Lepisosteus oculatus: one gene and its partners. The protein of the gene in region 3 interacts with the protein of the main gene of each other region in a pairwise test. Links are inferred from orthologs where the notes say so. Each region holds a gene or a part of one and is shown on either strand. Other genes may lie near its edges.

Region 1 (10,991 bases), on a different chromosome or scaffold from region 3:
GGTTCCAAGGCTAGCCTCTGCATTATGTGAAAAGTATTAGTAATCTGCAGGGATTGCCAAAGAGACTACAATCTTTCAAGGGCAAGGCTTCAAGTGTTAATACAGGCTAGACAACGAGGAGTAACCATATGTTCAAAATGGCTCTGGCAGGGCTCTCTCACCGGATCGGGATGGGTGTTGATTTTGGTTTTCAAACATCTGGACAGACTCGCCCACAAAGAGGATCTTCTCTGCCACGCGGACAGGGATGTAGGAGGGCAGCATCTCAACACGCAGGGAGAACTGCTGGAGGGATGGAGCCAGCATGTTCTCCTCCTCAATCAGCCGCTGCAGAGACCAGAAAGGAAGGCAGTAGTGCTGTGGTGTGGGGTGTGCCCACAAGAGGTCCATCATTCCCAAAACCACCGAGTGCATTTTAAACCACAGTAAAAGAAAAATGTAAAAAGAAACGTATAAAACCTCAAATTTACATCACAAAATAGATTCAATTTCCAGGTATGCACAGTGCCATATTCTGCGATTCAGACCGGGGCAACAAAACTTCCAGTGAGGAAGTTTGTAAAGAAGCAGGCTTGTGAATACATCTCTTTTAATCCAACAGAAATTATGCTCTCAACTTTGAGATCGTTTTGCTTACTTGTTACTACTTACTTGTTAACTCTACTTGCAGATCACGTTGGAACATTTCTGCAGTGAAATGTCTGCTGCACAACCTGTACTTATCTGCTCATACATCACATTACATTCGTCATTACATTAACCAGTGAGCAGGAAGGGCCGCATCACGGCACAATTCTCACAAACTCTCGCCCATGGCCAGGTTGGGGTTTATGACAAAATGGCAAGTTACAGTACATTCACAAAGTTCAAGACTGTTCGCTTAATTTGAAATTTGTAATTTTTTTCTACACTGTCAATGAATTTATTTTGCTACTGAGCTTTAACAACCAGTCTGCGAAATTCCCCTTTAAAGCAATCTCACTCAAGGAGTCCAAGTATTCTGAAGCATTCACCCTTTGTCTCTCACTTCCCTCACTGCTTGAATCCTTCTATAGTCACAGAATGATAACTTCCTTTCTTTTCCTCTTTCCTCATACCCAATTTGCAAATCAAGGGGATTCTTCTATATATCCCTGACTCTGCGTCCTGTCTGCCTTAAGGCCCACACCTGTTTGCTCCACTCACCAAGTCCTGAAGCTCTCGCAGCTGCTTCCCGCTCAGCCCCCCAATCCCCAGGTCTTCCTCCTCCTCCTCCTGGGCAGGCGTCGCCCCCCCTGCGCTGGGGCCCTGCTTCACAAAGAACTCCTCGCTCTGGTCCAGCAGCAACCCATGCAGCATCCAGGCTGCCAGCTGTTTGTACATGACCCCGTGGCAGACTGCCAGGATCCTGCGTGACAGACCCAGACTGAGAACGCCCTTCTTCTGAACACCAGCACGCAAGGTGGAAAGCAAGTACACAGCCAACAGGTCAAACTGTAACACAGCTAGATAAAGCAGTGCAGAACAGTGAATGCTTCAAAGGGAGCCACCAAACCAGGACATACAGTATGGCTGGTTTAAAGGTCATCGATATGACCTAAACTTTTCCTAGCAACCAGTGTTAGGAAAAATACTCCTTGTACAGCTGAACTGTGATCTTCAGAGAAAAGGCTTGAAGAGCCACAGCACAAAAACATTTAAAACAGAGATATCAGTCTTGAGCCAAGAGGGGGACACCACTCACTTCTCCAAGGCCGTGCGGACAGGGGGGAGCCCTCCACAGCTGTGCTTGTATACCGTCTCCAGGATCTGACAGCCATGGATCTGCTCAGCGGAGAGGACATAGCCAAACTGTTTTCTGTACCATATACTGTTTAGCCCATATGGCCTTTCAGACTCAGAAAAAATGTACAGGAGTGCACAGAATCAGCACCACTGGTCAATTTCTTTTTTGCATTGCTGATCCAAGGTGTTTTATGGATGAACAGAAGATGACTGTACTCCCTTTAAGGTTATATAATATTAACACATACCATTCTAATGCAAAATAACATCAGAATTGTTTAACCGGCATATCTATTCATCTGATACACCATCAATATGCACCAATGAGTTCGCCAGTACTGATTAACGATGCAAGTCTTAGAACTAGCACTAAAACAACACAATTTATCAATATTTTTACTTAGAAATGCAACATTCAGCATGACCTCTTCACCTACAGGAATGTATTAATCCTTATATACTTCATCCTGTGGAGACAAACTCCACAGCCTATGACAGAGCATTAATATTTATTCCATTTCTCTTCCTGCAGACCTGTCAATTGCTTTCGAGTCAGAGCTCATGCACAGCCAGGTGCAGTGCAAAACGTACCTTCTGGGACTTAATGGACTCCACCACTACCATAACAGATGGGAAAAGCAGCTGAAACTAGAGAGCAGAAACACAGAAACAATGAATGAAAACAGCTGTTTCCACATGTCTGAGCTCAGCCCTGATCACACCCACAGTATAAGTGATTGTGCTTAAATTTTTACATTCAGAATGATTTCTGGTGCTTCTTTCACACTACATTGACTATACCTGGTGAATTTGAAAAAGTGAAGAAAAAATTGATACCATTTATTTTATGTGGAATCAGAACACTGACGATACATTATAAAGTACTACTTTGTGTAATAAAAACTATTGTAGTTACTGAATAAATAATAAAACCCTTGCGCTCTTCAAGTCTGAGTGCTCTGAATTACCTGGTCCAGCCTGTAGTTGACATGGGAGATAGTGAGATGGGGATCCCCCAGGAACTGAAAAAAAGCAAAACCATTTTAACATGAATGAAAAATCAGAAGTACACTGGTATACTTAATATAAATTCTGTATTTATCAATGTAATGCTTTTTTTGTCTCATGAATCGGGAGAATATCAGTTTTTAGACTTAGCACAGAAAGTGCCAGGTAGAAGGGAGTCAAGGTATTATAAGTAGTCAGGAAGGGAAGCTTTGGACTCAACTGTACAGAGGCAGAAAGAAGAATTCTGCGTGTGGTATAGTGTGAACTGGTAACTATCAAAGTTCAGAGAAAGGATCGGCTCAGCCGCCCCTCCTACCTCTTGCTCTAGGTCCAGCAAGGCCTGGCGGTAGGGCTGTAACATGGAGTCCAGCCCGGTGCAGAATGCTCGCAGGTAGATTCCATGGAGTCCAGACTGGTTTGGCTGGGAAGCATGGTGCTCCTGTGTGCGCAGTGAACAGTCAGGGTTCCAGTAAACATGCAAGATCTACAATGTTCCCCTCACACTGTCATGAGCTTGCTTTCAGACCAGACTAAGATTCCACAAAAACATTTAATATTGTCATATTATCGTTCACTAGACGAGCGACGGAAATTTCCTAATAACGAAAAATGCCTAAAAAGTGGGAGGAAAAGGCTAATTAGATACACAACGCAACCTGACAAAGAGTTGTTAAAACCCTATTCTTATCCCGCTAATAATTATTTTGAGCATTACTTATCCTGGCAAAAGGAGGAAGGTCTATGAAAATGTATTTTATCTGCGGTCCCAACCTGATGTATAAAATAATGGGGTTAAGCATTATCAATTTTACTTGAAGTGAAAGAAAGGATAATTACATTGCTTTGATATAATGCATATAGGTTTTTGAGCAGCAAAGATACAGGTGCAGCAAAGTGTTTTATACACAGTTGTGGGAATTGTAGTTCTTCCTTGTTACAATTGCATCCTGGGACATTGAACACTACAAAAGCAGGGGAAACAGGTAACCTGTAGGTTGCTTTCAGGCTAAATTACAATGTTTAATAAAGGATAAATCAGCCTCTCTAAAGTCACTGGAATTACAGCAAGTAGCTGGTAAATAGCAGTAGAGGGTCTGAATTAGTTTTCATAATTTATTACATAACATAGGTTAATTTAAAATATTCAGCCTTCCACAGAAAACATTTTGTTTTGAAGTACAATATCTGAATTCCCGTAAAAAAATGCCTGAACTCTAAAAACAAACCCAAATCTTTTCTGCACCTTTGACTTCAAGCAGCATAGGATACAGCTCCTTTTAATAGCTAATATTTTTCATATTTATTTTAATATTGCAACCCAGAAAATAGTTTTTCCTTTTTTGCTGTTTTGTTTGCTACGTGTTCTTTAGGAGTGAAAACTCACTAGACATTCTCAGACCAAAGTCCTCAGCCCCCGGCGCGCATCTCTGGCCCCTGTCTCTGTGGTGGCAGTGCCTCACCTGCTGGTGCACGTGGCCCGTGTGCTGCTCAATGAACTCAGTGAAGCGGATGTAGTCAGAGCCCAGTTTGCACACTCTGTTCAGGACACTGCTCTCACTGGGATGGAGGAAGGGCAGGTCCTGGGACACCTGAGGGAAAAACAAAAAGGTCTCAGAGTAATACATACACAATAATAGATGATATGGGTAAGGTGGGTGCAAGTAAATGTGTGCTATAAAGTAACGGCAAAATCAAAAACAGACTCCAGAGTGGTAAATTTTTCTCAGCACAGCAGTTCTAATGCCTTGTCCGTGGTAAACCAGAGCTGCTTTTTTAATTGATAACTTCTGCCGGACCTAATGGTTTCTTGGTATACAGGTAACACTGGAAAGCTATGGTCTTGTGTGAATCAGTTCGTTATTTTCTACCCACTGTTGAGTGCAAGTGGCTAATCTAATTGATATGACCAGCACCGCCATGATTATAATAGATGGATTAAAGGTGAATTTCAGGGAGAAATACAGGGGGTAATCCCCTACTCTTTTGAACAATGCCATAAGATCTTTAGTGACTAAGCAATCCGGACCTCAGTTTTACATCTCCTCTTGAGCACCGACTCTCTGCAGCACAGTCATAGATCATTGGACCACTGGGACACATTTATTTTTGCCTGTCGTTGAATGGGACAATGCTCTTTTAAACCGAACAGAGACAGAGTGTACGTAATGAATTACAATGGCAAATAAATGCAGTTAATAATGTCGAAGAAAACATTCTATAACAAGAGGGCAATGATAATGTTTTCTAAAATTGGATCTAGTGTTAAAGCAATGAATGCAAACCACATTTTAATGATAGGTATGTCTCTGTAAAAATACACTGGATCAATACAAATTACATTCTGTATTGCCTAATAGAAAGACTCACAGCCTACAGATGCTTTTTACATGTTTCAGTCTTAGCGTTTTAAAACATAAATTAAAATAACAGCTGGAAATATATTCATTATATCTATCTTCGGCATTAGAAAAAGCAATAGAAAAATATTTTTTCAATCCCACCTGTAAACCGGTTCGTTTATTCCACGTAAATATGGTACCAGGGTACCCACTTAGAGCAAGCAGCAGTTCATGGATCATTGCAAGTTTTATTTCCAAAAAGAAATTTAAGATATAAGGCGGAATATTGTGCCAAGACTTCAACACAGTACTGTATTTTCTTTAACGCAGCCGCCAAACATACCGCCGCAATTCGATGACGTTTGCCGACAACACGCCAGTGCAGTATGGGAAGTATAGTTTTTTGCGCAGCCCAGTTAAAACTGGTAGGCCTAGATGAAGCGTGACTTGTGTGGTTGTGGGAGTTGTAGTTCTTATTTGTTGTAGTTGCGTCTTGGGACATGTAGTACTACTGGCAGAGGGAAACGGGTGAGTTGCTGGATGTTCTCGTAGTAAATACGATGTTAGGTTATTTTTCTTGTAATTGCCTGTGGTTTTTTTTTTTGTCGACATCTGAACACACTTTCTCTCTTCCAGATCTAACGTAGAGCTCAGAGCAAGCCTTTGTTGGTAAGGGGTGTGAGCAACTTGAGCCTTGCTACTAGAATTAAGTAGGCCCTGCATTTTCTAAAATTCTCTCCTGTGTTTGTTTACCTTTGTTCATAACAGTTTAAGGTTTTTAAAATCAGTGTATTTTGTCAGTTTTAACTTAAAGCCTACGTAATCGGTGTAGGGAACTTAGTTTTCTTCTTGTTTTAACCATTAAATTCCTACATTCCGGTAAACGAGGTCTGCTAGGAATGTATTTATCTTTATTGAGATAGTCTGTGTTAAACCACTTAACTAAAACATATAAACAAAATCTTAAGTACATTATGAGTTTTTCCAACATTCTCTTCGAAAAAGTAGCCATTAAAGGTGGTTTATATGTATTCGATAGTTTAACGTATGATGACAACAAAATGATTATTAGATTCAGACGAGCTCTGTTTTAATACGTCTTAACAGAACATAGATCTCATTGTACCGAGATTGCAACTATTTAATAAACGATCAAAACAGAACGAACAGAAGCTGGGCACTTACTATACTGTTCTCAGATGAATTCACATTGATGATAATATATTTTCATTTGGTTCTGTAGGCTCGATACAACGTTCGAATGTAAAAACGTATCTCAGCACAGTTTGTAATTGGGATACGCCACACACGTCTTAAAATGCGCTTAACCGGTTTTTGACGGCTCAGATTTAATTTAACACTCGTCTTAAACCACGCAGAGTGGCCGAGAGGTGGTGGTTTCTCGCACGGAAAGGTCATTGGAGTGATGCACGGTTTTTAAAAGTGAGTTGTCTGGGGTTGCAGAGATGGCGGAGGGGAGGAGTGGAGACGACATCGTGTCGGAGTTTCTCCGTCAGAACGCTCACTTGAAGCAGTGGGTGGAGAGCCTGCGGGGGCACTGCGAGACGGACAAACAGTGGCGTGCCAGGCGAGAGTTCATCCTCCGGAACATGGAGGTTTTCACCGGCATCACTCCAGGAGTTCCCAGCCGCAGCTTGGACCAGCTGCTGTCTCTCTCCATGGTCTGGGCGAACCACGTCTTTCTCGGCTGTCGGTGAGTCACAAAGAAGCACTGGGTGGGGGTTTAATCCAAACGTGTGACATAAACCCATCCAGCTCCACACTTTTTTGTAATCTTGCTGAATTAACATGGTCTGAAAGCTGCAAAGAATGAATAGTAGTGATCTCTTAGAAGCTCTCAAAGACTATTTAAGAAGGCAAGATAGATTCTTAAAGCAGAGAGCTTGTAGTCTACTGCAAAATTGAAACTGTTGCTTTCCAGTGGGGTACTCTGTGCATTCTTCAGACCTAGGCTGGAGAGAAAGGGCTTCTTGTCTGCTTGCAGGTATCCCCAACCTGTCATGGACAAGATAACAGAGATGGCAGAAGGGGTGGTCGTGCATGAGGCTCCAGTTCGCAAGACAAGAGATGAGCTAATGGGCAAAGGAAAGAGAACAGCCTCCACAGGTGAAGTATGGGCAGTGTGTAAAACTGTGATGTATTACAGCCCTGTTCACTTCACATTGGACTTGGCTCAAAAGTGGTTGCACTATGGTGTGTAATGATTAGATCCAGTACCTTTGGAGAGTACTTTCCACATTGGAAACAGAATGCAGTTTGACACAGGTGTAACACAAAAAATAACTGAGTGCTATTTTGTGTAATTCTTCATGTGACAGCCAGGAAAAGTGAGCATTTTAGGTAATAGCTTCACTGCCAATCACTATGAATATGCAGATCAGGACGATGTTATTTAGGAGTGCATTTCAAAGGAATTGGCTATGTACATATAACATTAGTTTTGTTCCATGGAAGATTGAGCTTTGTAAAAAGCATTTTATCCCTATTGGAGATGGTGTACTTTACCATGTTCTTCTACAGATTACCCTCTCAGCTATTTTGACTCCTTTAGAATAAGTCCTTTCTCAAGGATCTGCCACTCCGGTGTAAATGGTCATATAGCTGAAAATACACAGTTTTTGCCTTTAGATCTATGTAACAGGACACAGTGCACTGATCATGTTACTGGAACAATATAATCTTACTTCAAATCTAGACAGTGTGCTATTCTGTGGCAGAAGTCCCAGTCTTTTGGCAGAGTAGAGTTCATCTCTGAATTGTTTATGTAGTAGGATCACTTACCTTGCAGATTTAAGTCTAAATGTTAGAAAGGTTCAAAATCTTAAGCATTTGCATTTTGCATCTCCACAAGGGACCAGTTTACATGTTTGTCAGCATTTTTGTCTGTGATGCACATAGGACATTGGGTGTGCACAAGATTTTAATAGAAGGTCTGTTAATAGAATTGTGTTTTTACTAAAAATAAAATATTTAGCATGATACCTTGGAAAAGAAACCAGGGGACTGACATTGGATACTCTCTGCAATGTTGCTGCCCATGGCAGATGTGCTTGTTGTATTTTATTTTGTGAGGGTCATAATTCACAAATCATGTTTTCTTTTTATATGAAATTAATAACTTATATATACACTACAAAGTAACTTTTCAAACGTGCCTGAAATATTTTTGCCTTTTTCTGTTAATTGATGCTGTAGAAAATCCTACATCCATCAGTATAGCAAGTTTCTCTTTTTCCCTGTCATTATCTCACTCACAGTTACAGCCTTTCATAGTCAGGAGATGAAATCTGCCCCTTCTATCCTCTGGTGTAACAGTAGTTGATGAAAGCTCAAAGGGAAAGAATATATCAAAAAGCTTTAAACTTTTTAAGTTTGCCTCAGAAAAAAAGATCAGAAGGTACCAGCTATCATTTTGAAATAACCTGTCACTGCGGGTGAGATATGGGAAGTAGTCCTTTGCTAAAGATTCTTTTCGTACATGCATTGTTGCCATTTAAGATGGTAGGAATCCCCCCCCCCCCCCCCCCCCCCCCAGCTCAACATAGTTAAATGTTTCATTAGCAATAAAATGAGAGGCACAAGAAAGAATAATAAACCTTACTGGAATTTTGGGGGATTTTCTGTTTGGCAGAAGGGGAGTGTGATGTTTCTCAGAAGAAGCTGAAGGCTGGTAGTGGCAGGGAAGAAAGCAGAAGTGGAGTCCGGGGTCCAGGATGTCTGGGGAGTAACGTGCAGACCCATCCAGGAAACAGGGCCAACTCACAAGCAGCGATGCGGCCCCCCAAGCTAGGACCTCCTCCACACGCCCCCAGTGCCCACCAGCCCTTCTTCAACCGTCTCTACAAGGCAGTGGCGTGGAAATTGGTGTCAGCCGGGGGATTTGGGCCCAACCTGAACCACTTTGAGATCCTGCGGGCCTGTGTGGAGTCTTCTAAGGCCAGCCTGACCTGTGCGTTTGTGCCCTTGAAAGACATCCCAGACCTGCCAAGTAGCCGCATCCAGAAGGAGGGGCAGGTGTGTGAGCTGCGCTGCCAGACTGTGTACTTAGGCACGGGCTACGGACGTGGGGAGGACAGTGCCAGAGCCATGGCAGCCAAGGAGGCCCTGAAGATCTTCCAGGGCCGCAAGGTCACGGTGAAGATCTGCCGGCGGAAGTACCAGGGTGGGGATGTGGAAGACTTGGTCCTACAAGACGATCAGCTGAGGAGTTCTGGTTTCCCACCAGCACTCAGCTATCCCTTCCAGCCAGAACAGCAAGCTGCAGCCCTTTAATAAGACAAGCAATCGACTCAAGAACACTTTAAATTAAAATTGTCATAATTTTCTTTTTTTTTTAGGCTTTTCCTATGGTGCTTCTACATCCTTCTGGGACGCAGTAGATGTTGCCTTTTATTGTAGAAAGCCCTGCAGGCACAAAAAATACCATTGGCTTTAGATAAGAGTGACAGCACAACCAAAAGATGGCATTACAGAGTTATAATACAAATTTGGTGCTGAGGCAAGGCAATGCTTAAAATTAAATTGGGCGCAAAAAATATTAAGTTTAGTTGATGTAAATATTTTAAACATTGGATCTGCATCAAGGCTGGATAGCCTTCATACAGGTTCATGCGGTTCTGTTTGAACCATCAGGTTTGTTAGGTGATGAAACTATGAAAACTGTCCCATGTTCCACAGGTTCAAGTGAGTACTTCTTCTGTTATCGGGGATCAGTGTTGAACAGCTTGTTGGAAAGTTCTTAATATAGTTTATACTTCTGTTCAAAACACAATTTCTGTTAAATATGGAAAATCATATACATTTGATTTATTAAAAGATATTTTAGACAAAATGATTTGCATGAAGTGAAGCTTAAAGCACTTCAGAATGAAGCAAGAAATATATATGAAGATATTATTGAGTGAACGTAAGAATGAAAAGTAAGTAATTGAGACTGAGCTATGTAAAAGAAGGTTTGATTTTCATGCACAGGAGAAAAAAATACAATTTATGTTAAATTTCTGATTAATATGGTAAAGTCTTCACTGCTTCAAAAATGATCAGTACCAGGAAACATTTTATAATTATATTCAGCTGTTAAGAAGACATGATTTTTAAAGTGTCCAAACAGAGCTTTCAGAGATGTTCACCAAATGTGTAATATCTAGCTGTAGTTCTGATCACTGTATAAAATGATCTGTTCCAAATTTAAGTCCGTTTTTGATGTTATTTTAATAAAAACAGTTTAAGAGTTTAATACTGTAATTACAAATCTCCAGCTGGAAATATGTGGGCTGAATTAGGTTTTTACAAAAAAACAAAGTCAAAACATCTAGCCAGTTCAGACAGAGGTATGTAGGCACACTGCAGGGAGTGTTTGGTGATGAGGAAATCTAAGCCGTTTCCTTTCATGGCATACATGGCATACTATTGCTTAAAGGAAACATGGTCAGTTGTCTCACTATTTGTCTTGGACTGATTTGGGATTTTGTTTGCTGGATTTTGTTCCCCCAAGTACAGATGTTTTTGCAATTGTTTTTTAAGGGTTTTATTCTCCAAATAATTTTATCTTTTATCATATGTACATTGACTACTAATGGAAAGTTCTTTATGATATTTTTGGGTCTACTCTGAAACATGTTATGGGTTTCTAAGGGCTTAGCTTAGAAGTTTGTCTATTGACAAGAATGTGGCAGTGTGCAATAGAAGAAGCTGCCAGCCTCTGATGAAAACTTCCTTTGTAAATTTTCAAATAGTGAGAGACTTCTGTGTTCTGTTGTCTAAACATGCCCTAAATAGTTAATTTTTAATTGCAAGCTGGATCATAATGCTTGATTCTCTAATTTATCTTACATTGCTAAAAAATATTTGTTTATACAG
Region 2 (11,218 bases), on a different chromosome or scaffold from region 3:
AGAGCTCCTGGATCAGACCACCTTTTGCTGGATTTGTGACTTCCTGAGGGAACAGCTGGCTGCACCCCTTCTCTTCTTCCTTCTCTTTGTTCTGCTGCAGTGCACAGATCTGCTGGAGCAGGGAGCCCCCTTCTTCTGGAAAGAAAGGACAGTCTTCTCCATAGGCTGAACGTGAACTTGGTTTGAGTGCCTTACATCCTACAGTACATCATAACTCGACTGGCGTCCAGCTGTTAATCTAAGGCAGCAGTTTGGCACCAGTGTGGCATATAAGGGTCTCGCTCAACAGCAGGGCCCCAAGGGGACATCTGAGGAGCTAAAGAAGGGCACGAGAGCTTTTTATGTACACCTAAATATGTACTAAATTTTTCTATAAGGCAATGTTTTTTACAGCAATTTATAAGTAGAAAAGTAGGACTCGCTCTCAAATCGCTGCATTGAATTTGCTACTAATCAGCTAAATCTAAACAAAATGTCAAAAATCCTTTTGTCTATGAAGGTCAGTCCTTGCCCAAGAACTGTTTTTGGAATTAAAATCTGACAACTACCCTCTCGGGCATCTTCAGTCAGCTAACTTTGACGCAAGACCGGATTTTCTGTGCTTTCGATGACCAGAAATAAGCACCACAACAGACTCGATGTTGAAAGTGACTTGCATTGTGCCTTATCTTCTACAGAGCTGAGAATTTCAAAACCCGTGACAAATATGCAGCATCAGAGCTCACATTGATAATGTTTGAGACAAGCTCTTAAATTAAATACACCAAAGTTCAAATGTGAATTTGGATCATACGACCTTCAATCTGTCAAGTAACAATTGAAATCAAAACATTTAAAAAAAATGTTTAAATACAATTTTAGCCTGTACACCAAGGGGGGCGGTGAACCACTGTCCTAAGGTGGCCGGAGGAGGAGTGTTAAAATGAGCTCGTTTTCCCTCGATCATCATTCTAGCTCGAGATAATTCTAAAAGCCTCGTATGGTGTGATGAACAATGTATTTAAGTTGGAGCTCTCTACTGTGTATACATTGTGTACTGCAAGACCTATACCAATGTGAGTTGCTGTTCTGGGGTGGGGCTTATGCATGTCTGTATATTTTTAAGTGGTTTCCAGCCAGACTACCCAGCACTAAACCCAGCTGGGCTGCTGGAAAGTGGTGGGTTACCTGGAGCGCTGTGGGCGGAGGTATTGAGAGGTGTGGCCAGGCGGTCTCTCATCCTCTGGGTGGGGCCCTTGATGTTGGCGCTGGTGAGAGTGTAGCAGGGTGAGAGGCGCAGCCCGTGGTTCTGCTCAGCGTACAACAAGGCCAGGCGGAGCAGCTGGTCCCTCTCTTCACCGTCGCCCTCTGCTCTCCGCAGCGTCTCGGGACTGAACGCCACATCGATCACACTGTACACCTCTTTAAGGGATTAAAAAACACACAGGTCCATCCATCCATTTTCGAACCACTTTATCCAATACAGGGGTGCTGAGGGGCCAGAACCTATCCCAAGTAAGCAACAGACACAAGGCAGGGTAATAACATCATCACTTTTAACTATTATCACTATTAACCCTTTACAATTTCTTGCATTAGGAATTATCTTTTTGCATACCCCATCTTGCTCTCCATGAGACACACAGACAGGGAGAGAAGCTGGGGGTCAGAGCGCAGGGTCAGCCATTGTATGGCACCCCTGGAGCAGCTGGGGTGAAGGGCCTTGCTCAGGAGCCCAACGGAGTAGGATTCCTCTGCCGGCTGCGGGATTTGAACCGGCAACCTTCCAGCCACAGGCGCAGACCCTTAGCCACAGAACCACCTCTCCGCCAAAAGCGTCGTTTTTATGCGCCAGCCGGGAATCGAACCCGGGTGGCAAGAATGGGAATCTTGTATGATACCACTACACCACTGGCGTAGACTCGGTATCTTTTTGGGCTGTGGGAGGAAACTGGAGCACCTCGAGGAAACCCCCATGTGAACATGGGGAGAACATACAGACTCCACACACACAGCACCCCTGGTCCGGAAGGGAAACAAAGGCCCCAGCGCTGTAAAGCAGCAATGCTGACCACTGAGCTGCAACACACAGGCTGTTTCTCTTCAAATGCACTTTCAACTAGGATTGACTCATTTGCAAACATGGTGGGTTTGTTTTTCCTTCTGGAATTGAATCGCGAAGCGGCGCGACCAGGGGAGTGGTGGTACCTTTGCCTTCAGCTCCAGTCGCGAGCTTGCTGGCGCACAGCGGGACGGGGCTGGAGTGAGACTCCGGAGTGGGGACCCGCTTCCAGCTGCACACGTTGACATAGAGCACGCCCTCCTCTGGCTCCTGCAGGACACAGCACAGCTTTGAAACAGGGTGTTCTGCACGCACTCACCAGAATATTAGGAATGCAATGACCACCGTGAATACTGCTTATGTGGTTTGAGCTGCTGCTTGCCGAGCCCTCGCACTTCATTGGTATGGCTCTGCAATATTACACCTTGTGGTTGATGATTAAATCATCTCTTTTCTCACCTCTTCCTCACTTTGATCCCCAGGTACATCTGACAGCAAACTGCAATTGGAGCTCTGGGGTTGTACAGTGTTTAAACTGCATTCCTATTATGTAAGGCGATTTCCACCTACTGGGGTGTAAAAAAAGTCTGTACAAGTACTGCAGTGCGCAGACAGGAGTGAGACGGGGGAGTGTGTACCGGTATAGCAGTGTAGAGACAGGAGTGAGACAGGGGGAGAGTGTACCAGTATCTCAGTGCGCAGACAGGAGTGAGACGGGGGAGTGTGTACCGGTATCTCAGTGCGCAGACAGGAGTGAGACGGGGGAGTGTGTACCAGTATCTCAGTGCGCAGACAGGAGTGAGACGGGGGAGTGTGTACCAGTATCTCAGTGCGCAGACAGGAGTGAGACGGGGGAGTGTGTACCGGTATCTCAGTGCGCAGACAGGAGTGAGACGGGGGGGTGTGTACCGGTATCTCAGTGCGCAGACAGGAGTGAGACGGGGGGGTGTGTACCGGTATCTCAGTGCGCAGACAGGAGTGAGACGGGGGAGTGTGTACCGGTATCTCAGTGCGCGGACAGGAGTGAGACGGGGGAGTGTGTACCGGTATCTCAGTGCGCGGACAGGAGTAAGACGGGGGAGTGTGTACCAGTATCTCAGTGCGCAGACAGGAGTGAGCCTGAGGGCTGCTGTAGTAATCAGCCCCGTCCTTCAGCTGCTGCTGGATGAACCTGCGGTAGCCCTCGGGGCTGCTCTCTGACAGGTCGTCCAGCAGGGACCAGAGCTGGCTGACCTGCTGCAGCACGGCCTGCTGGGAGCACGGAGCCGCCATGCCGCGCCTGTGGGGGAAACGGACACAGGTGACCCTTCTTCTTCTAGAGGGAATTGGTACTGGGCAGACACACAATTTCATCACATGAAAACTTAATAAGCACATGTTCAGTCAAAAAAATATATATCTAGTTCTCTTCCAAGATATCACACTGTCATTCCTGAATCTAGCACAGTGCAGTCCATAAGTATTTGGACAGTGACAGAATATTTGTTGTTTTGGCTCTGTATTCCAGCACATTGGATTTGAAACGAAACAATGACTATGAGGTTAAAGTGCAGAATGTCAGCTTTAATTGAAGAATATTTACATCTATATTGGGTGTAACATATAGGAATCACAGCCCCTTTTATACATAGTCCTCCCATTCTAGGGGACCAAAAGGAATTGGACAACTGGCTGCTCAGTTGTTTCTTGGCCAGCTGTGTGTCGTTGCATCGTTAGTTCCTGCACAAGAGAGCTAAGAAAAGGTCTGGAGTTCATTCTTCGTGTGACACTTGCGTCTGGAGTCTGTTGCTGTTGTCTCTCAACATGAGGAACAAAAAAGAGTCAATGTCATTAACACAGCAATCATGAGGCTGAAAAATCAGAATAAATCAATCACATAGCCAGAAGGTGTATCAAAATCAACTGTTTGGTACATTAAGAAGCAAGAACGCACTGGTGAGCTTAGCATAGCAAACGACCTGGTAGACCAGAGAAGACCACAGTAGTGATGACAGAAGAATACTTTCAATCGTGAAGAAAAACCCCTTTTCGACTGTTGAACAGAGCAGGAACCTTCTCCAGGATGTAGGTATAGATGTGTCAAAAACTACCATAAAGAGAAGAATACACCAGCATAACCTCAGAGGGTTCACCACAAGATGCAAACCCCTGGTAAGAAAGGCCACAGAAAGGCAAGGTAACAGTTTGCTAAAAAGTACATAAAAAAAGCCTGTAGAGTTCTGGGACAAAGTCTTATGGACAGATAAGGCGAAGATTAACCTGTACCAGAGTGATGGGAAGAGGAAAATGTGGAAAAAAAAGGGAACAGCTCATGATCCAAAGCAGACCACCTCATCTGTGGAACATGGTGGAGGTAGTGTCCTGGATTGGACATGTGTGGCTGCCAGTGGACCTGGCTCACTTGTCTTTCTTGATGATGTGACTGCAGACGGCAGCAGCAGGAAGAATTCTGAAATGTACAGAAGCATCTTATCTGCTCAGATCCAACCAAATGCCTCAAAACTCATTGGATGGTGCTACACCTTGCAGCAGGACAATGACCCCAAACATACTGCTAAAGCAACTGTGGAGTTTTTCAGGGCCAAAAAGTGGAATGTTTTCGACTGGCCAAGTCAATCACATGACCTGAATCCCATTGAGCATGCATTTCACTTCCTGAAGACAAGACTGAAAGCAAAAAGCCCTGGAAACAAGCAGGAACTGAAGATGGCTGAATTACAGGCCTGGCAGAGCATCACCAGGGAAGATACCCAACGTCTGGTGATGTCTATGTGTTGCAGACGTCAGGCAGTCATCAATTGCAAAGGATTTGCAACCAAGTATTAAACATGACAATTTTATTTAAGATGATGTTAATGTGTCCAATTACTTTTAGTCCCTTGAAATGGGGGGGCTATGTATAAAAAGGGCTGTGATTCTTATACGGTTCACCCAATACAGACGTAAATATCTTTGAATTAAAGCTGACATTCTGCACTTTAACCCCATAGTCATTGTTTCATTTCAAATCCAACGTGCTGCAGTACAGAGCCAAAACAACAATACCCGTGTCACTGTCTTTGGACTGCACTGGAAATATATTTAGGCATGGAAATATTCCGACTTTATGAGGCTTTGCAAATATAAAATGTGTCTTAGACAGTGACTCCTTTGCAGCACCTTTCATGATATATACATATTATGAAGACGTATAACTCGGGATTTCCAATTAACTTCGATAATATATTGCCTATAATCATTAGGCTAATAAAAACAGAAAAGAAAAAAATAACAGTGAAAATAAAAATGCCGCAAGTCAATCACATTAATGTATTTTTTTTTTTATACAAACACACATTTGTCCTGCTCTAAAATGCTGCCTACCTTGGTGTGCGATATTTGGGTGAGATTTTCAAATCTTCCCACAGCCTCCCGTCTATGCCTTTCTGTTGTAGCTTCTCGGTAACTATAGAAACGCAGTCCGTCAATCCGTGTGGGAGCTCAGGCTGGAAATATTGGTTCCCACCTCGATTTACACTCTTCTGTCATGCAGTCTCTTTCAATGCCGAAATGGATGTATCCGCTTACATTATTCTCAGTTTACTCCTCCGATGTACCGCAGGGTGCTACCGTGTTTAATTGTTCCTAACTGCTATCTTATATCACTATATTTTATTAGCGAGGAAAACAGGATGGGACGTTTAAGCAATGACAACAACGTCCGGTGAAACAACAGAGAAGCGGAGGAAGTCAGTGGGATGAAATAACATGATTTGTTTTAAGGACAAAGAATTACTGTAACAAAAAGGTAAGATTTTAACAGCCTATTAACAAAATCAATTTATATGCACTATGTTGGTATTTTAATGGTATTCATCCTTCAGTCAACTGAAGCTGGCAGGCGGTATTAAAACGAAAATGGAACTCGGTACAATTTCCGCATTTAAAACAGAAAGACACGAATGAAAAGTTTGGGAATTCGCGATAACGGAGCCCCTCTTTTTCGTTTTACCAAACTGCTCCTGCTGAGCCTAAAAAGAGCCTGAAACAGCTTCTACAGGAGCTCGTCACACACGTGAAAAATGTGTGTGCGCTACTGCTGTCTCTTTGTTACTTAATTGTGTGGGAGCTCTCAGTGGGAACAGCTAGGCTTTCGCCTGCATGTCTCAACACGGGAATAAAGTCAACAGTTCCCTGTGCTTTTCCAGGAGCGAGCAGGGAATCAAACCGCTGTATTCATGAAGCAAATTGTTTACCACATTATACCAGTGGGCTATAGACTTGTGTTTTCCTGTAAAAGTAAAAATGAACGTCTTCAAAACCAGAGTCATGGGGGTTTGTGAGTATAGGAGGGTTTTGGGGTACCTTAAGCACTGCCAGTGCAGTTGGGCTGAGCCTTTCTGCCACGCTGAAGAGTTGTTGCTTTGAAAAGGGACTTTTAAGATTTTTCCAGCGTAGAGACATTTCAATAAACTCACAACAGTCCTCTTTGCGACCATCTTTAGAATATTCCTGGTTAGGCTAGGTGTCAGTTCTCCCAACAGATTCACGTTCAGCACATGTAATAGCAAATCTTGGAATTTTCATATGATAATCAGCTTCTGAGGTCTTGCGTGTGATGTCTGTTGTTCCAGCATGATGCTTGAAAACCTTTGCTGGCTGGTTGACCTGTATGAGCTCAGGTACTCAGCAGACGCCTGAATGTTTTGTGTTTTGATAGTGCTAATTTGTGAAAACCTGGGGCATGAAACTGAACTGTAACGACTGTACATTTGGGGTGCAAATTCAAAGTCCAGGGTCCTTGATTAAGAAATTTCTATCTTCTTGCATGTTAGCAAAAGAAGTTGCCCTGGCTAAGTGTATTTACATTTTTGTCTGTATAGGTTTGATCATGTCTCGTGTTCCTATGGGAAAGGTGCTTCTCCGAAATGTCATCCGTCACACAGATGCTCATAATAAGGTAAGCAGGAGTTCATCAGGTACTCCAGGTGCTACTAATCAGACTACATCAAGGGCGCACGCACACACACACATGCACACACGCACGACTTTAGAGATGTCAGTTAACCAGGACAGCATGGATTTGTTTATGAATGTGGAAACCGGAACACCACAGAAAACCCACCCAGACGGTACCCCAATCCAGAATCGTCCTCATCGCCAGCAGCCATATCACCCTGCAACTCACAACTGGCAGCCCCACTGAAGCTAAGCAGGTGTGAGCCGGGTCAGTACCTGGATGGGAGACCTCCTGGGGAAAAACTAAGGTTGCTGCTGGAAGAGGTGTTAGTGGGGCCAGCAGGGGGCGCTCACCCTGTGGACCATGTGGGTCCTAATGCCCCAGTATAGTGACGGGGACACTATACTGTAAACAGGCGCCGTCCTTCGGATGAAACGTAAAACCAGGGTCCTGACTCTCTGTGGTCATTAAAAATCCCAGGGCGTTTCTTGAAAAGAGTAGGGGTGTAACCCCGGCGTCCTGGCAAAATTTCCCATTGGCCTTTACCAATCGTGGCCTCCTAATAATCCCCTCTATGAATTGGCTACATTACTCTCTGCTCTCCTCCCCACTGAGAGCTGATGTGTGGGGAGCGTTCTGGCGCACTATGGCTGCCGTTGCATCATCCAGGTGGGGCTGCACACTGGTGGTGGAGGGGATCCCCATTACCTGTAAAGCGCTTTGAACTTGAACTTGAACTTTATTGCCATATGTAACCGGTACTGGTACAATGGAATTCTTACTTACAGAAAGAAGAGTGGAGTGTCCAGAAAAGCGCTATAAGCTTTTATAATAATAATAATTATTATAACTATAATAATAATTGTAAGCAATTATTATTACTCCAGTATTATTATTACTCCAATTATTATTACTCTTATGATTATAAGATCCTGCCAGATCCTGTCAGGCTGTGGTGCTGGTGATCGGGATTTGCCGAGCTGTAACCACACCTGCGTTTGTCTCCTTCTTTCCTGGTGGGGCAGATCCAGGAGGAGTCGGAGATGTGGAAGATGAGGGAGAAGGAGCGCCAGACGCTGGGTGATCATGCCAGATGGCATCGACGAAAGCTGGATCATGACCTGAGCAGGTTTGCATCCTCCTAAATAAGAGCTCTGTACAGCAGGCTGTGGTGTTCAATAGTGTTCTTAATCTTTCCTAGAAAGACAACCCTGCAGTATTATATAAGTTACAGGAAACCTAAAGTATTGTACTATAAATGGGGGGGAGTGTATAAAAAAGGAGCTGTCAAATTAAAATCCAAAAATCAGGTCCTGAAAACATAGCAAATTCTAATATCAATAATAATAACAACCCTGATTTTAAGGGAATACCGAGCATTACCAGCATGTGTGCTCTTAGCTTCTCCAACACAGCTTGGTAATAGAGTAAAAGGGGGGACCTTAATAAGACAAATATTTATGTTGTTATAGCTACACAAGCAAACAGCACATGGTCTTCATGGCTATATACAGCTATGTACAATACAGTGAGCTACCAGAGACCTGCCTTCAACCTGCATAGAAAATATAGAATTGCTTCCTTATATTCAAGACACAAAACAACTTAAAAAGGCAAATTCTATTTAATATCCTATTTAGCATTCTGTTTAACAAGGGTTCTGTCCAAGACTACATTACTGGGCTTAAAGAGATGCTAAATGAATGAGTTTTTTAAAACACTAACCAATGAGAGAGGCTTTTAGCCTATTGATTCTACAAATGGGGATCAGTAATAATTTACCTTCATGAAGATTTGAACAATGCATGGGGAGCTTTTTCTGAGAACTTGGACTGATTGATTTCTAAAAGTGTCCAGTGCCCTGGACAGGAGGTCCTGCAGGATGCTATCAGCACAGGCCAGGTTGTGTCGCTGTCTGCTGTTCAAAATCACTGACTCTGCATTCCTGCTTAGGGCGCACTCACACAGGATCTGGGTCTGGTTCCAGCTTTTCTGTTCCAGTTCCTGTTTTGAGACCCCTGCACGGTTCCCGATCCTTTGAAACTGGCCGTGCAGAGCTGCGAGGAGGAACGGTAATTTTGTGCTGTTTGGTGTGTCAGGGGCCGCATGCGCTGTGACGGCTTCGACGAGGAGGAGCTCCCCGGGGACGGGGGGGCGGCAACGGCGCAGAGCTCCGAGGGAGACGTCCGCGAGGCCCGCCACTGGACCAAGAAGCTGTACGAGTTCGAGGCCGGCGACCCCGACAGGTTGGTGTCTGGCCAGTCATCCGCGTTAAAACAGCTGACACTGACATGTCAGCGCAGGCGCATTGAGAAGGCTGATTCTCCTGATGCACAAACATTTTCTTACTACAGTAGCTGCAGCAGCTTGCAATGTAAATGGCATTCCTCATATTATCTGGGGTAACTGTTACCACTCTGACTAGTTCCTAGTCTGATCTAGTGTTCCTAGTGTTCATGGAATCCAGCTGTGTCCCTTATAGGTACATCTACTGTACATACAGGTTTGTGCAATTGCCTGTTTCCTAGCGCTGTGCTCAGTGATGTTGAACAACACGCTGCTGTCTGTTCCAGGTGGGGCCACAGTGGCTTTAAGGAGCTCTACCCCGAAGAGTTTGAGACAGACAGGTAAGAAACCCCACAATTCTGTACTGTGCAGCATACTCATCCCCTTCAGGGTTTACCTGTAAAATGTACCCAGTCTGTTACACTGCATACTCTTAGTGGGATCTGGTTTTATGGTCCTTTTTTGCAGCAACAAGTGTCTGTGCCTTTTATTTTAACAAAGGACAAGTATTATATAGACTATATGTCATGGCACATACACGTATGTCTCGTGAATGTAAAAGCAGTGGATAATTCTTGGAGCGTTTTACAGTATAGCTGGGGCTAAAGTGAAATGGCAGGGGAGTTGAGAGGGTGTGACCCACTCCTGTAATATTATCGCAATCCAGTATCTGCAGGAAGACTTCAGCTGGCCCTCCAAGGATACATCTGCTCCCCAGTCGGTCAAGATCGGCCTGTCAATTGAGAGACACTGACTTTGTCACCCCTGTCTCTCCCAGTGACCAGCAGTGCAGCGATGGCGAGAACATCCACCGCCGAGAGAAGGCGCCCAGGTCGGCGAGCCCCGAGTCGGGCCGACGCAAGCGCTCCAAGAAGACGCTGAAGAAGAAGACGAAGAAGAAGGCCAAAAAGAGGAAGAAGGAGGAGGAGCCGGGCAAGCGCAGGAAGAAGAGCAGCAAGGAGAAGCGGAGGAAGAGGAGGAAGGAGAAGGGCCCGGGCGGCAGGAAGGACTCGCACAGCAGCAGCAGCAGCAGCTCGGAGGACGAGGAGACGGGAGGGACCCCCCGCGGCCGCAGGAAGAGACCCCACGAGGCCCGGGCGGAGAGCGAGCACGAGGAGGAGCTGCGCAGGAAGAGGAGGAGGAGGAATTGGAAGGTGGCGGACGAGGAGAAGTCGGAGGACAGCTCTGAGGACTGAGCAGCGGAGGGCCTCCGACACGCAGCCCCTTTCTTTCAGTCCAGATCTCCTCTCGCTCTCTCCCCCTTGGAAGAGCTCCGTAAACGGAGGGGCTCTGCTGTCCCTGCCGCACAATCAGGAAGAACAAAGTGCCGGGTGCAAGCACCACAGAGACCTTGTTTTTGTGAAACTTTTCAGCTCTGGAGTTTTTAAAAGGTGTGGGAAGAAAGGACAGGTGTAAACTCAGTGTGATGGCCAGTGCTTGTGCTGTTTGGCACAGTGTCCATTCAACTAGGCAGAAGCCATTCAGGGATTTTTTGTTTCAGCCCAGGTGTTCTCTGTCTGAGGCCTTGTCCTTGTCCGTGTCCTGGTTCTGGGCCCTGGTTCAGCTGGCATGTGGCTCGCTGGTGCAGCTGCCTCTCACAATAATGACAGTGTTTTTGTACAGCCTTGCTATCGGCACGTCTTTATAATTACTGTTGTTGTGTTGTTATTTCCAAAGCCCCCTACTGTTTTCGGTGAGAGAAATGTTTTTCTGGCGGTCGAGATGTTGGAACGGCTGCCGATGCGCGGACCCAAGCAGGAGCATGTGTCACCTCTCTCACTTCACTTGGGGGGGTGCTGTGTACGTGTGCCCCAGCTTTCACATCCCACCTGTGTGGGCAATAATGGGTTTGCCACTAAACATGGTGAATTTCTGTAGTGTCCTCTTGGAGCTTGTGGACATGTCAGTTGGCATGTATAAATGTAAATGTAAAGTGGAGCCAATTCCCAGGG
Region 3 (11,214 bases):
GCATTTTTCTCGCCCCTCTCTCTACACCCCATCTTCAGAGTTGCAGCTGCCTCCCTGGTTCAGTCCAGGCAAGTTCAGGGGTTTCTGGCAGCCTTAACCTTACAACCAGGATTGTCATTTCTTCAGCCAGGTGAGTTCACACCAAATACAAAATAATCAAGTATGCTATCCCTGTAAATTCATTGTCTCGTCACATTTATTCAATTATGACCAAACTACTAAACTGGGTTTTGCTGCTTTGAGCCTGGGCTATGTCACTAGTCCATCCTGACTGATTATCCCCAAACAGCAGCACACCCCTAGGTCTGGCTGGGCTGCTTTCCTTACTTTGGCAAATGACAGCTGTCCCTGGAACTTGTCAGTTGCCTGCATGTGTGCAGTGTTGTCGATGAAAAATAGATCACTATTCCGATTGCTGTTGGAACTTCCCTGCAACTCATTCTGCAGTGATTTCAGATGGGGAGGAGAAAGTAACTAGCTCAATTCTTAGAAAATTGCAAAGACTAGATTATGGTTCGACTTGCCTGTCGGTATGAGTTCAGGTTATTTTCAGCTTCAAGGCGCAAGTTGATCTCATCTTGTAGCCTGCAGGAGAAGAGAACAGAACCATTAGCTTTAAGGTACATCATTATTGCCCAGCATCATAAAAGGAAGACACTAGACCTAATTGGTTTTACATAAATGTCCACTTTGTCTGGATTTAGTATTATTACAAGCCCTCAGCAAATATCGATCTACGTCATTAGCCAACTGCAATGTTTCAAGCTGCAATGTTCAGTAAGGAAACGGGAGCTTCAGTTAACCTGCACTTCGCACGTAACAGCAACCTCTGTGGTTTGCAGAGCTGTCAGCAAGAACTGCAGCACATCCTTCAGTTCATTACTCTGCTACAGTATATCCCTTGTGGGGCTCACATACTGAAAAGGGCATATGGATTATCTCTGTACCTCTCAGAGGAATCTTCTATAGTCGTCACCCTAGTCCCACTATTGTACAAGCCACAGCACAAGCTATAAAGTCAATGCTTTGTGAGTATAAAATTGACAAGAATGAAAGGGGAATATAACTGTTTTTTTTTTCCAATAAAATGCTCCTGGTGAATTCCTGAAGCATGTCTGTAAGCAGTCATGAGGCAAAGTATATCAGCGTAGCACTAGCTTTACAGAGGGATTTAAAAAGCAGGATGTAGAAAATTGCTGACATCCTGTGAAATGTATGACTTTAGTAAGGATAAGTGTAGACTTTTTAAATCTTTAAAGCTTTCAGCACAACAGCATGCCCTGGAGGATGCTGTCAGTCTCACAGCACTCACATGGGGACTGAAAGTTGCACACACTTCTCCTGTACTAAGAGGCCACAAGAGATGTTAGACAGCAGCCTCAAGCATACAGAGCAACAGAACACAGAACCAAATCCCAGGTGATGTGTTGGAGTGATCGTGGTTTACAGTGTAATAGTTCTAGACAAGGCAATGGCTATGTTTGAAAACGTGTCAGAATAGCAACAATGAAAAGAAAACCTTTAGCCGTTAGGGGTCCCATAGTGCAAGATGAAGGAGTTTTGTCTCAACAGCGCAGGGCTCACAAGAATGTTCAAGCTTGGCTCTGCAAAGAGCTGGAGCTTTCAGAGTGCTTGCTGTGGCACTTGTCTGGGCTGAGCACGTTGGGCGCTCAGAGGTGTCTGAATCTGGAGCTTAGTGACAGACTTGTTACTCAAACAGGTGTAGCACCATATGATAACACAGTGTCATTTAGATGGTTTTTTAAATGTTCTTAGGAAGTGAGCTTCAGAGCACAAAGACGTAAAGTAATGTCTGGGTTACCCAGAAAGCTCTAAGAAATGTGTTTGTTTTTATGAGAAGCAAGCAGGTTGTTTGACGAACAACAATGCAACCAGATCTGAAAACAAACTATCACCAAAGAAGATAGCAGCCCTTGAAAAAACTAAAAGAAATTAAAAACACAGAACAATCTGGGATACTTTTTTAATATATCCCAGGAGGAGACTCAACATCATAACTCTTTTGTGCATTCAAATGAATTTTCTTTTACCATAAGTCAGCATTTCTACACATGTAGAACTGCTTGAACACAGAAAAATAATTAGATGCTTTAATTAGGCAGATACACAATATTGATAATCCTTTTAGGAGAAACGTGGATCAACAGAAAGCTACAATCTGCTGACTTCTACATCCGCTCTAAAATCCACCTTTATTTTATTTCCAGGGCAAAAAAGAGTCTGTGTTGTTGTGTACAAGGACCACAAACATCACCAGCGCTGACAAAGATTAAGAGATTAAACTGAACTTTTTGCAGCTGTGCATGGCCCATGCTCCCTCTGACAGCCAGCAGGCCAGACAATAAAGGCCCCTTTGTCACACTTGTCTGTGGGGACAGCAGCCACCCAGCCCACTGTTGGCAATTCCCAAAGAATAAAATTGTCAGAGATGTTATTTGTGGCATAGTCTCTGACAGAATGCACCATTCTTTGGGCACAGACATAAATTAGGCAGAGGTGTGGGATGAACTGTGGTCTCAGTTTTCCATTGTTTTCCATGGTGTTTTGGAGGAAGGAGGTTGAGCTGGAAAGGGATCTGGAGATGCTTCATAGTGTCTATACTGTACTGTTGTTTAACTGACAAATGGCAGAAGAGCTTTTCTCACCTTGTGCAAATAACCTCAAGGAAAGGAATTCTTTGGATGACAACAGTCAAATGTTTGCTTATCTGGCAAAAAGAGGCTAACTACTTTTATTTTTCATGTGCATTTGTCAAATGTTTATCTTAGCATTGCTGTTTGCACTGTGGGACTCTCAGTGCCATTTACAGACACGACTTACCTTCATCTCCTCTATATTGGTAAAGCAGGTTATAGAACTGAACCAAGCTGACTACCAATCCATTATGGGAGTAAAAAAGGAGCAATTAATATAGATTAATTAATCACTTCAAAGGGAAAAAATAAATACAAGGAAAAGAATAATAGTGCATTAAACAGGTCTGATTGTGTGACATGAGGATGAGATGGATTTCACTAATAATGGTGGGAAAGCATGCATGAACCCATCACAGCTATTACTCATCAAGAGCAAAGCTTTTCTTTAAGTACTGGCATGAATGCAAGAGTTCGTGCAGCTGTCACTTCAAGCAAGGCTGAAAAGAGGAATTTAATTCACAGTCAGGCTCTTTGTGGGGCCCAGTGAAAAGCCTATGTACATAATAAAATGTAGGGGGCTCCTTCACTCGACTGTTCTCCAAACGACTTCATATTGCGAAATTCAAGCAGCTACAGTAATGGGCCATCAGGTTTATTTGCTAGTAAACTCAAGGCTATAAATCCGTACATTTCAGGCTTCATGCAGCTTAGTGATCCAAGTGGATAAATTTATAACTTTACAGGTTATTATAATATAATAAAAGCGGCATGACTGATTCCATCTCCTCAGATCCCTGATAGGTGCACAGTCACAGGTAATGTTGTTAATTTTATTTTTTCTTGAGAAAACTGTCGCAAATGACTATGATTTATGACTCTAGCCCTGTTTAGGTAACCTTAGTTCACTTCACCTTTAGACAGCAAATCCATACCACTGAATAAGCTAACAGTGGTTTGAAGGTTTTAAGATCTGTATAACCGTCACAAATATGATATCTATCTGCAAACCCCATCTTACCAGAAATCTCTAGTTTAGCACAGTTTAATTGATGACAATAAAACCCTTTTTCAATAGTTTGAGGACACCAGCCTTCAGTATGAAGAATACCAAAATCAGTGGAATCAAAATATCCTACATTCCAACTGCTTTGAATGTCAGTTGAACACAAAACATTTCCAGCAGCACCACATCTGTGATGTAAAACTGAAAAAGTTTTTAATTCCACCCTAGTTCTTCTGCCCTGCTGTGTCACACTAATTTTGCATCTACAAATGCAGGCACTGGCACTCACAACACAAACACACTCTCACGCTCGGTGTTCACTCTGGCTTGTAAGGATAAGATTTAGTCAGCAGACATCATCTTTCCAGGGCAATTTCCAAAACTGTACTCTGAATTCCTTTCTGTTCTGAATGTCCTAGTAAAACCAGCTCAAATCTATACTGCATATGATAATACTATATAGGATGCTGTTTTATTTTGTGCATAGATTTAGAAGAATTTTATTTGAAGAACACAAGCAAAATAATTTATAAACATTTAAGTTATAAATATTCCTGTCCTGGAGAGCACAAAAAAACTTTCTGAAAAACTCCTAATTATTTTGCGTGTACAGGCTCTAGCAAGAGGAGACATCAGTTTTGCCTGACACTAAGCATACTCTCAGACACGACGACACGTAGGAAAATCAGCAGCACTGAATGGGGCATAACTCCTCTACTGGATTCTTTGCATTTTAAATTTGGGACATATTTTATAACTCTGTCACTACATTATAAAAGATTTAAAGAGTATTGCTCTCCAACCCATCCAACAGGTTCTCCTTGGTGACTTTATTCTATAGTTTACGAGTTCCCCATTGTTCTTAACCTAGGCTACACTCTATTGCACATTGCAATATACCAGCTCATTGTTAAGGGATATTGACTATACTGTACGTTTTTAAATCATGTCTTAAAGTATATTTTCAATTCCTGGCACACACTTATAGATCTACTTTTGATCTATACTTGTGGGCCAATTTATAAGGCCCTTTGAGACATGGCTAATGAATTATCCTGCCTGAACTGGAGACAGTTATTCTATCTCTTGTAGTAGCTGGACTCCAGATTTAGGCTTTTGCTTGTGGCACCAAAGCGATCCTTGGAGCCGCCGTACTGTTATTCTCTCCCCGGAATCTGAAAGGACTACGCTCGGGGCTTTGGGAATGCTGATAGGGGAAACTCCAGCTTACTTCTGCTGCAGGTGGGCCAGGTCCTCAGCCAGGTTGTCCCTCTCGATCTCCAGCCTGGCGCGGGTGGTGCTCAGCTGGTCCACCTGCTTGCGCAGCTCGCGCAGCTCGTCCTGGTAGATGTCGCCCAGGCGGGTGGGCTCCTTGCCCCTCAGCTGGTTCAGCTCGGCCACCAGCACCTTGTTCTGCTGCTCCAGGAAGCGCACCTTCTCGATGTAGCTGGCGAAGCGGTCGTTGAGCTCCATCATCTCCACCTTCTCGTTGGTGCGCGTCTCCTTGTACTGGGCTTTGAGCACGGTGTCCAGGGAGAAGTCCAGCTTGTCGGGCGTGAAGGAGCCCAGGACGACTCCACTGCGGCGCGCCGTGACATTGGAGTGCGAGAGCCGGGGAGAGCTGTGGACGGCGAATCGGCCAGAGGACAGGGATGTCCTTCCACCGCTCCCCGACGCCCCAAACCTCTTCCTGTAAGAAGACGCCACCACCCTTTGGGTCTCCATGTTCGTGCTCATGGTGTTCGGTGGAAATGGAACAAGTCAGCAAATGAAATGGTCTCTGTCCCTCTCCGGCTTTTATAGACACTGTCCTCCGCCCCCCCACCCTGAGCAGGAGGGCTTGAGACAGGAGGGGGAGAGAGGCAGGGGGAGGGGGAGCACCACAGCTAGGACTTGCCAGCCATTGTGCTCGTCTACTGAACTTGAAACTCTCCTGGCTTTCTCTCGCTTTCTGCAAGCTGGAGTTTTGGAATGTTATTCAGGAGGGAAAAAAAAAGATAATGAGCGCCTGAAGTACTCCTGTGCACTGTAGGGAACAACTCTGCTGCAGGACTGTGGTTTTCAAAACGGTTTTAATCAGTGTGGCTGCACACTGCGTCCAAGGGATTTACTGGAAATAACACTCACTGGACTCTCGCCGCAGTTTTGTAAAGCACTGCCATCTACAAAACACTTTGCAAGGATTTATTTTATGAAGATTTAAAAAAAAAAGGTGTAGGCAAAGGTGTAGGCACTCTTTTACAATGTCCTTCCTAGTCATAGAACTTATCTACCTTTGTCTGCATGAGGCCAAAGCCAAGAAAAGTAAGATAAAAATCAATTTCACTTTAAGTACAGTATGGCTATAGCTACTGTACATCCTTTAGGATTAATTTAAGAATTAACATTGCCTACTAACCAAGCATAAAGGACATTCTGTGTGTCCATTACGACTATCAAACTACAGTATTCGACTGTCATTGCTTTCACCTTTTAAGCACCTCTCATCTTCCCCTCAGCTGACACAATCTAAATAAATGTCAGTGTTTTCAATTATCTGAGATGTGCGACGACATCACTAGTGTTGTGTTGCTCTTGTGCACTTCAGCTGCCAGTAGCTTTGCACTGGTGTGAGCATGAGTGCGTACAGTAAACTTCTCTTCCACTCGTTAGAAAACTCCATATATCTGTCAGCACTGTAAGACAGTAAAAACTGAGTCCTTCCTTTCTTGGTCATATTGGCATATGACATATTGGCCCTCTAAATAACACAAAGACCTCTGGTCACTATAAAATGGTCTGGGCTTTGGAGTTATCACTGGATCAGCCAAGCACACAAACAGTGTTGAGGGGCTCCTGAAAATGTTTTCTACCAATTGTGTTGTCTCCAGTCAACCTTGCTGCTTACAATGACTTGAATGATTGCTCGGGTGTCACACAGCAATGGGTTACCATCCCATTGAGCGCAACCCTTGTATTCGCAGATCACTTGAGGCTACAAAAACCATTCTAGGCTCAGGGGCTGTGAGCCGCTGGGTCTGTGTTGACGTTCAACCATGGTGCTCACTGAAAGAGAGAGCACAAGAACAATGCGGTCATCGCAAGACTTTCAAACCTGCCCTGAATCTTACTTTTCTCTTGTTCTTCTGAAAGCTGCGATTTGTACATTTTTAAGTCAGCAACATCAAAGCAGCTGTCAAGTTAATTAGCTTCCCTGTTGTAAAATATATATTATTACTATAAGGGAACAAGTAATAGGTTTATTCCATGCTGAAAAAAAGAAGAAACAGAACACAACGTTTCGGCCGTGGAGCCTTCTTCAGGTGTGTCACTATTACTATAATATTATTTATTACAATATCTTATTTATTAATTTAAAAGAATTGCTTATGAAAGGCAGAACTTGTATTTCCAACCAAAAAGAAAAAGAAAAGTTATGCTTGCTGTCCAATTTCAATATGCCAACCTATCAACATTACAAACAGGATTCAAAAAGCAACAATATTGAAGATCTGAGACACATATTCTAATTCCTTCATCACAAACCAGCCCATGTCCTACCTCCGGTTTACAGACCCTGCTGAAGAGCATTAAGTCTCACAACATCTGAACAAAAACATGTTTATGATTCTGATGCAGCTGCTGAATTTTTAATAAATGTTTCTTTACGAGACTATAACAAGATAGATAGATTGGGCAAGTAGTAGAAGGACAAAGAAGTAGTACTTCATATCCTGGTTGGGTGGTTTTACTCTACAGGTCAACTTATTCAGGATGGTAAGAAGACATTAAATGATCTCTTTTGTACCTCCTCCCTCTCGTGTGAATTGGGCCTGAAATTCCAGCATTCACTCCGACAGATTTATCCTTTGCAGAAAGCTCTGGGCTGTGGAGGGCGGGGTTAAGAACTGGGGTAAGATGGGAGATCCATTTAATGACTCTGTGACTTTCGAGTCTTAGAGAAATATGGGGTCCGTTTCGAATTGATTAGCAGCAGTTGTCATAGAAACCTGGGGCCCTTTTCGAAAAAGTGTTTTTCTCTGGGGATTGTGGGACTGAGACAGCATTTTTGGATGATTTATTTTAAAATTTAAAATTTTATAATAAAATTATAAAATATAATCTTTTATAATAAAATATAATCTTACTCACAGAAACCAAAGCTAATTATCTGAACAATACATATAAGATCTTTTCAGTGCAGAAATGAAGCCTAGCATTCAGTGGCTTTCTTAAACTGATTCTTTAATCATAAAAAAGTTATCATAGATCAAGGACAGTGTTTTTCCAGGTTTTAAAGACTTACAGTCCCATCAGGTTTCTAGAACATATCGGTACCTAAATCGGAAAAGTGGATATTTAGAACAATTAACTCGTTAATTGAGTCAATTAATAGATGAATAGAAGAGACTAATTTGAATCAAAACCAGTGGACCATGGATCTCTCCCCGAACACAGGTGTGTATGAATGATGTTAAATTTCCCTTTTCCAATTCAACGTGACTTTGAACAGCTCCATCTTGGCCATCCCTTTATGTCTCTTCCTGTAACCCACCCTCCTCCTCTCCTTTTCTCCTTCAGCTCACCCTAGCAGCTCCTCTGGGAACGTCTGACCAGCCATGAGCTGCCGGAACAGCCCTGAACCGAGCCTCCAGCCCCCTGTCTGTAAACACTCCAAGGACAGACCTCCTGGAAAAGCTTTTATAAGGGTTTTTTAATAATGCCACAGCTCTCATTACAGGGGAACGAGCTTTTCCTTCCCCTTGCATAGGAAGAAAGAAGAGGCATGGGTGAAGGGAGAAAGAGGTATTGTTCATCTTGCTGTGCGTGAGCGATGTAGTCTGTCCCTGTGAAGGCATGGAGTTCAGGGGGGCCCACACTGTCTTAATGGGGGTTATTAATCCTCAGGCCCCTATCAAATTGAACTGCATGACTGCTTTCTCTTCCATAGACTACTAGGCCTCCTTTTTGTAATGAGAAAGTTCCCATAAAAGAGTGGGATAAAAAAATGGAGACAACCTTCCAATTTATGCTTCTCCTCAAACCCTGTCCCTCATAGCCTGTTCAGTTTAAGACACTTATCCAAGAAAGAATGGCTTTCAGGAAACATGGGAATGTTATACATTTGCCAATTCTTTTGCTGTTAACAATTATGTATCTATTTGCCATGATAAACAGTGCGGAAAACTATGTTATTGATGTGTGAATTCAGGATTTCACACTTACAGTAAAAATAAATAAAATACACATTTGAGCTGTGGAGCCATCCAGACATAGCTCCCTGCTCTAATATATACTGATAATAAAACTAATATTACTGTCTGCACAATTCCTGCTTTGAACTGGACTTAGATTCATGGCAGTGAATTTTCATGTTTCATGAAATTTCTTGATCATGGAGCTGTTCTTGTCTAATTGCTTCCAGTAGGTTTATAGATTGCTGGCTGATTTAACCGGATATTTTCCACAGCCTGTCACTCAAGGTCAGCAGGGAGGTCAGGGATCAAAGTCAGCACACAGTGTCACAGGCATGGTTACCCGAATCTTACCCCTGAGAAAACATTTTAAAAGATGGATCAGATATGGGTGTAATTGTGCAGAACATTCTCCTTTTAAAAAGGCTAATACGGCACCTGTAGAAGTGCTCTTCCTAGTATCAGTAACGACGTGGTGTCATTTAATAGAAAGAGTTGATCAGGGTCTACAATGAACTAATGGGACTTGTCTTCATGCACTAGCTGTATAAGAGCAGAAAACCGATCTCCGTGGGCTTGAATGTTAGGACACCTGGGAATAAAAGAAGATGGCTCAGTTTCTTCCAGTAGATCCAAACATCGTTGACTACAACATGGTTGTAAAGTTGGTTCCTCACACCTACGTTTTTTTTATGAAAAGCAGAGCCCCGCTTGCTTTGAATCAACCAGTTGTTAACATCCAGTTCGCGCCTGGCTTTGTGACAAACTGGCAAGCCCCCCACTCAGTGACCAATGAGAAAGCTCTTTGTCAGTCTGACCAAACAGCCCACTAGTGCTACTCTGTACAGAGACCAAGAGACGCTACTTTTTATTGTATTTCTTTGTTTTGTTGTGTTCTGTTTTTTTTAAAGAAGGAGAGGACAAAGACAGCAAACAAACTGAAATTAATCCTCTTGTTAATTGAAGTTAAATAAGAGGGACTTCTTTAACACTCCACTAATTTGTTTTTTAAAGCCCTGCCTCCACACACACAACATACGATGAAGTCTCATTATTATTTTCACACAAATCCTACAAACCAAGGATTTTTCAGGGTGCTACAGTCGTTGCCTCAGATCTAGTCACTCTGGTAATTCCTCAAGGTGGAAAAAACATTTGGATGGGAGAGTCCTGGAGACGTGCCTTGGGAGAAAGTGAGTAGTCATACATCTCTAATCAGGGGCAATTAAATGTTTTTATTTGCTTCTGTTTTGAAGGGAGTCTAAGAAGCCTCCTCTTGCCCCAAATCTAGAGCTGGCTAAGTCTAATGGCTGATTCATGGCCTTATCCAACAAGAGCCAGAACACAGCAAAAGAAAAAGCACAGACTAGTGTAAAGATTCCATTTGCATTGAGCCATCCCTTGGATGACAACAATCAACAAGACAGGCCCAAGGCTCTAATAGTCTTCAGCATTAACTTCAGACAGCCTGCCTGGCACTTAAATAAAAGAATCTTCTTTTCTGAACTGCTGTGAACTTAAAGCTAGATTCTCAACTTTCCAGCATTGCTGCTGAAGAAGAAAATGCAGAGAGTTATATGTGGCTTTGTAGATCAGAGCAATTCCTTTCAAGGTGTCAGCTTGTATTCTGTGCAACAAGGGTCTATTCCAATGAGCACTCAAACCACTGTATAGTGATGTTTTACCTATTATTTTATGGCCAAGATAAGATAGGGTATATGGGTGGCACAGTGGCACAGTGGTTAGCATTGCTACCTTGCAGTGCTGGGGCCCTGGGTTCAATTCTTGGGGTGTTACCTGCTTGGAATTTGTATGTTCTTCCTGTGTTTGTGTGGGTTTCCTCCCCCAGTCCAAAGACCTCCTGGTAGGCTAAATGGCTTCTGTGAAAACTGGCCCTGGTGTGAGTGTCTTTGAGTCTGTCTGCCCTGTGATGGACTGGTGTCCTGCCCAGGGTGCCCTGCCTTGTACCTGTGCCTGCTGGGATAGGCTTCAGGCCACCATGACCCCGAACTGGATAAGCAGCTATTGGATGCAATGTGAACGAGTTGAAGGTCTTATGTGAGTTATATTTTTCAAGAAAGTTACAAGTACAGTTGATGATTTGAGATATTTCTCCCTATGAGAAGGGAAAACAATTTTAGACATGCAAGATCACAGTTGTACACTCACTCATATCCCTGTGAACTGTCACACATGTTCATAATTAGCTATCATCAGCCAAAACAGGTGGAATAACATCTCATGTTATGTTATGTTATGCATCATGTGTCATATACTGAAAGCTAACTATCAGATTAAGAAGCCATTTTGTCATTATCTTTTCAAGATCGTAGAGACATTCCAGTCTCTGCTTGGTGCAACACCTAAGGGAACTGGTTAT

What was found. The genes of interacting proteins can lie anywhere in the genome.
Region 1: the proteins of gfap (region 3) and tubgcp4 interact in a two-hybrid assay, tested with the Homo sapiens proteins (2 studies listed by BioGRID and IntAct). The two-hybrid records come from large-scale screens. The link is inferred for Lepisosteus oculatus from reciprocal best matches to the Homo sapiens genes GFAP and TUBGCP4.
Region 2: the proteins of gfap (region 3) and PIH1 domain-containing protein 2 interact in binary tests that used the Homo sapiens proteins (3 or more experiments, as listed by UniProt). The two-hybrid records come from large-scale screens. The link is inferred for Lepisosteus oculatus from reciprocal best matches to the Homo sapiens genes GFAP and PIH1D2.

What each region holds. Positions count from the first base shown.
Region 1 is NC_090700.1:49,615,329-49,626,319, reverse strand, and holds the start of tubgcp4 (gamma-tubulin complex component 4), read right to left. Parts: upstream 5,493-10,991; 5' UTR 5,352-5,492; coding exon 5,274-5,351; intron 4,362-5,273; coding exon 4,233-4,361; intron 3,212-4,232; coding exon 3,089-3,211; intron 2,787-3,088; coding exon 2,733-2,786; intron 2,413-2,732; coding exon 2,356-2,412; intron 1,804-2,355; coding exon 1,724-1,803; intron 1,388-1,723; coding exon 1,186-1,387; intron 328-1,185; coding exon 162-327; intron 1-161. Other genes in the region: cdkn2aip (CDKN2A-interacting protein), read left to right, coding at 6,578-6,825, 7,117-7,238, 8,764-9,404. UniProt on the Homo sapiens protein: Component of the gamma-tubulin ring complex (gTuRC) which mediates microtubule nucleation.
Region 2 is NC_090718.1:15,287,482-15,298,699, reverse strand, and holds the start of PIH1 domain-containing protein 2, read right to left. Parts: upstream 5,493-11,218; 5' UTR 5,405-5,492; intron 3,321-5,404; 5' UTR 3,314-3,320; coding exon 3,131-3,313; intron 2,312-3,130; coding exon 2,188-2,311; intron 1,898-2,187; exon of another isoform or gene 1,827-1,897; intron 1,402-1,826; coding exon 1,168-1,401; intron 136-1,167; coding exon 1-135. Other genes in the region: uncharacterized protein NKAPD1, read left to right, coding at 6,693-6,702, 6,904-6,980, 8,006-8,109, 9,080-9,226, 9,554-9,607, 10,045-10,462.
Region 3 is NC_090723.1:1,940,519-1,951,732, reverse strand, and holds the start of gfap (glial fibrillary acidic protein), read right to left. Parts: upstream 5,510-11,214; 5' UTR 5,398-5,509; coding exon 4,892-5,397; intron 586-4,891; coding exon 525-585; intron 1-524.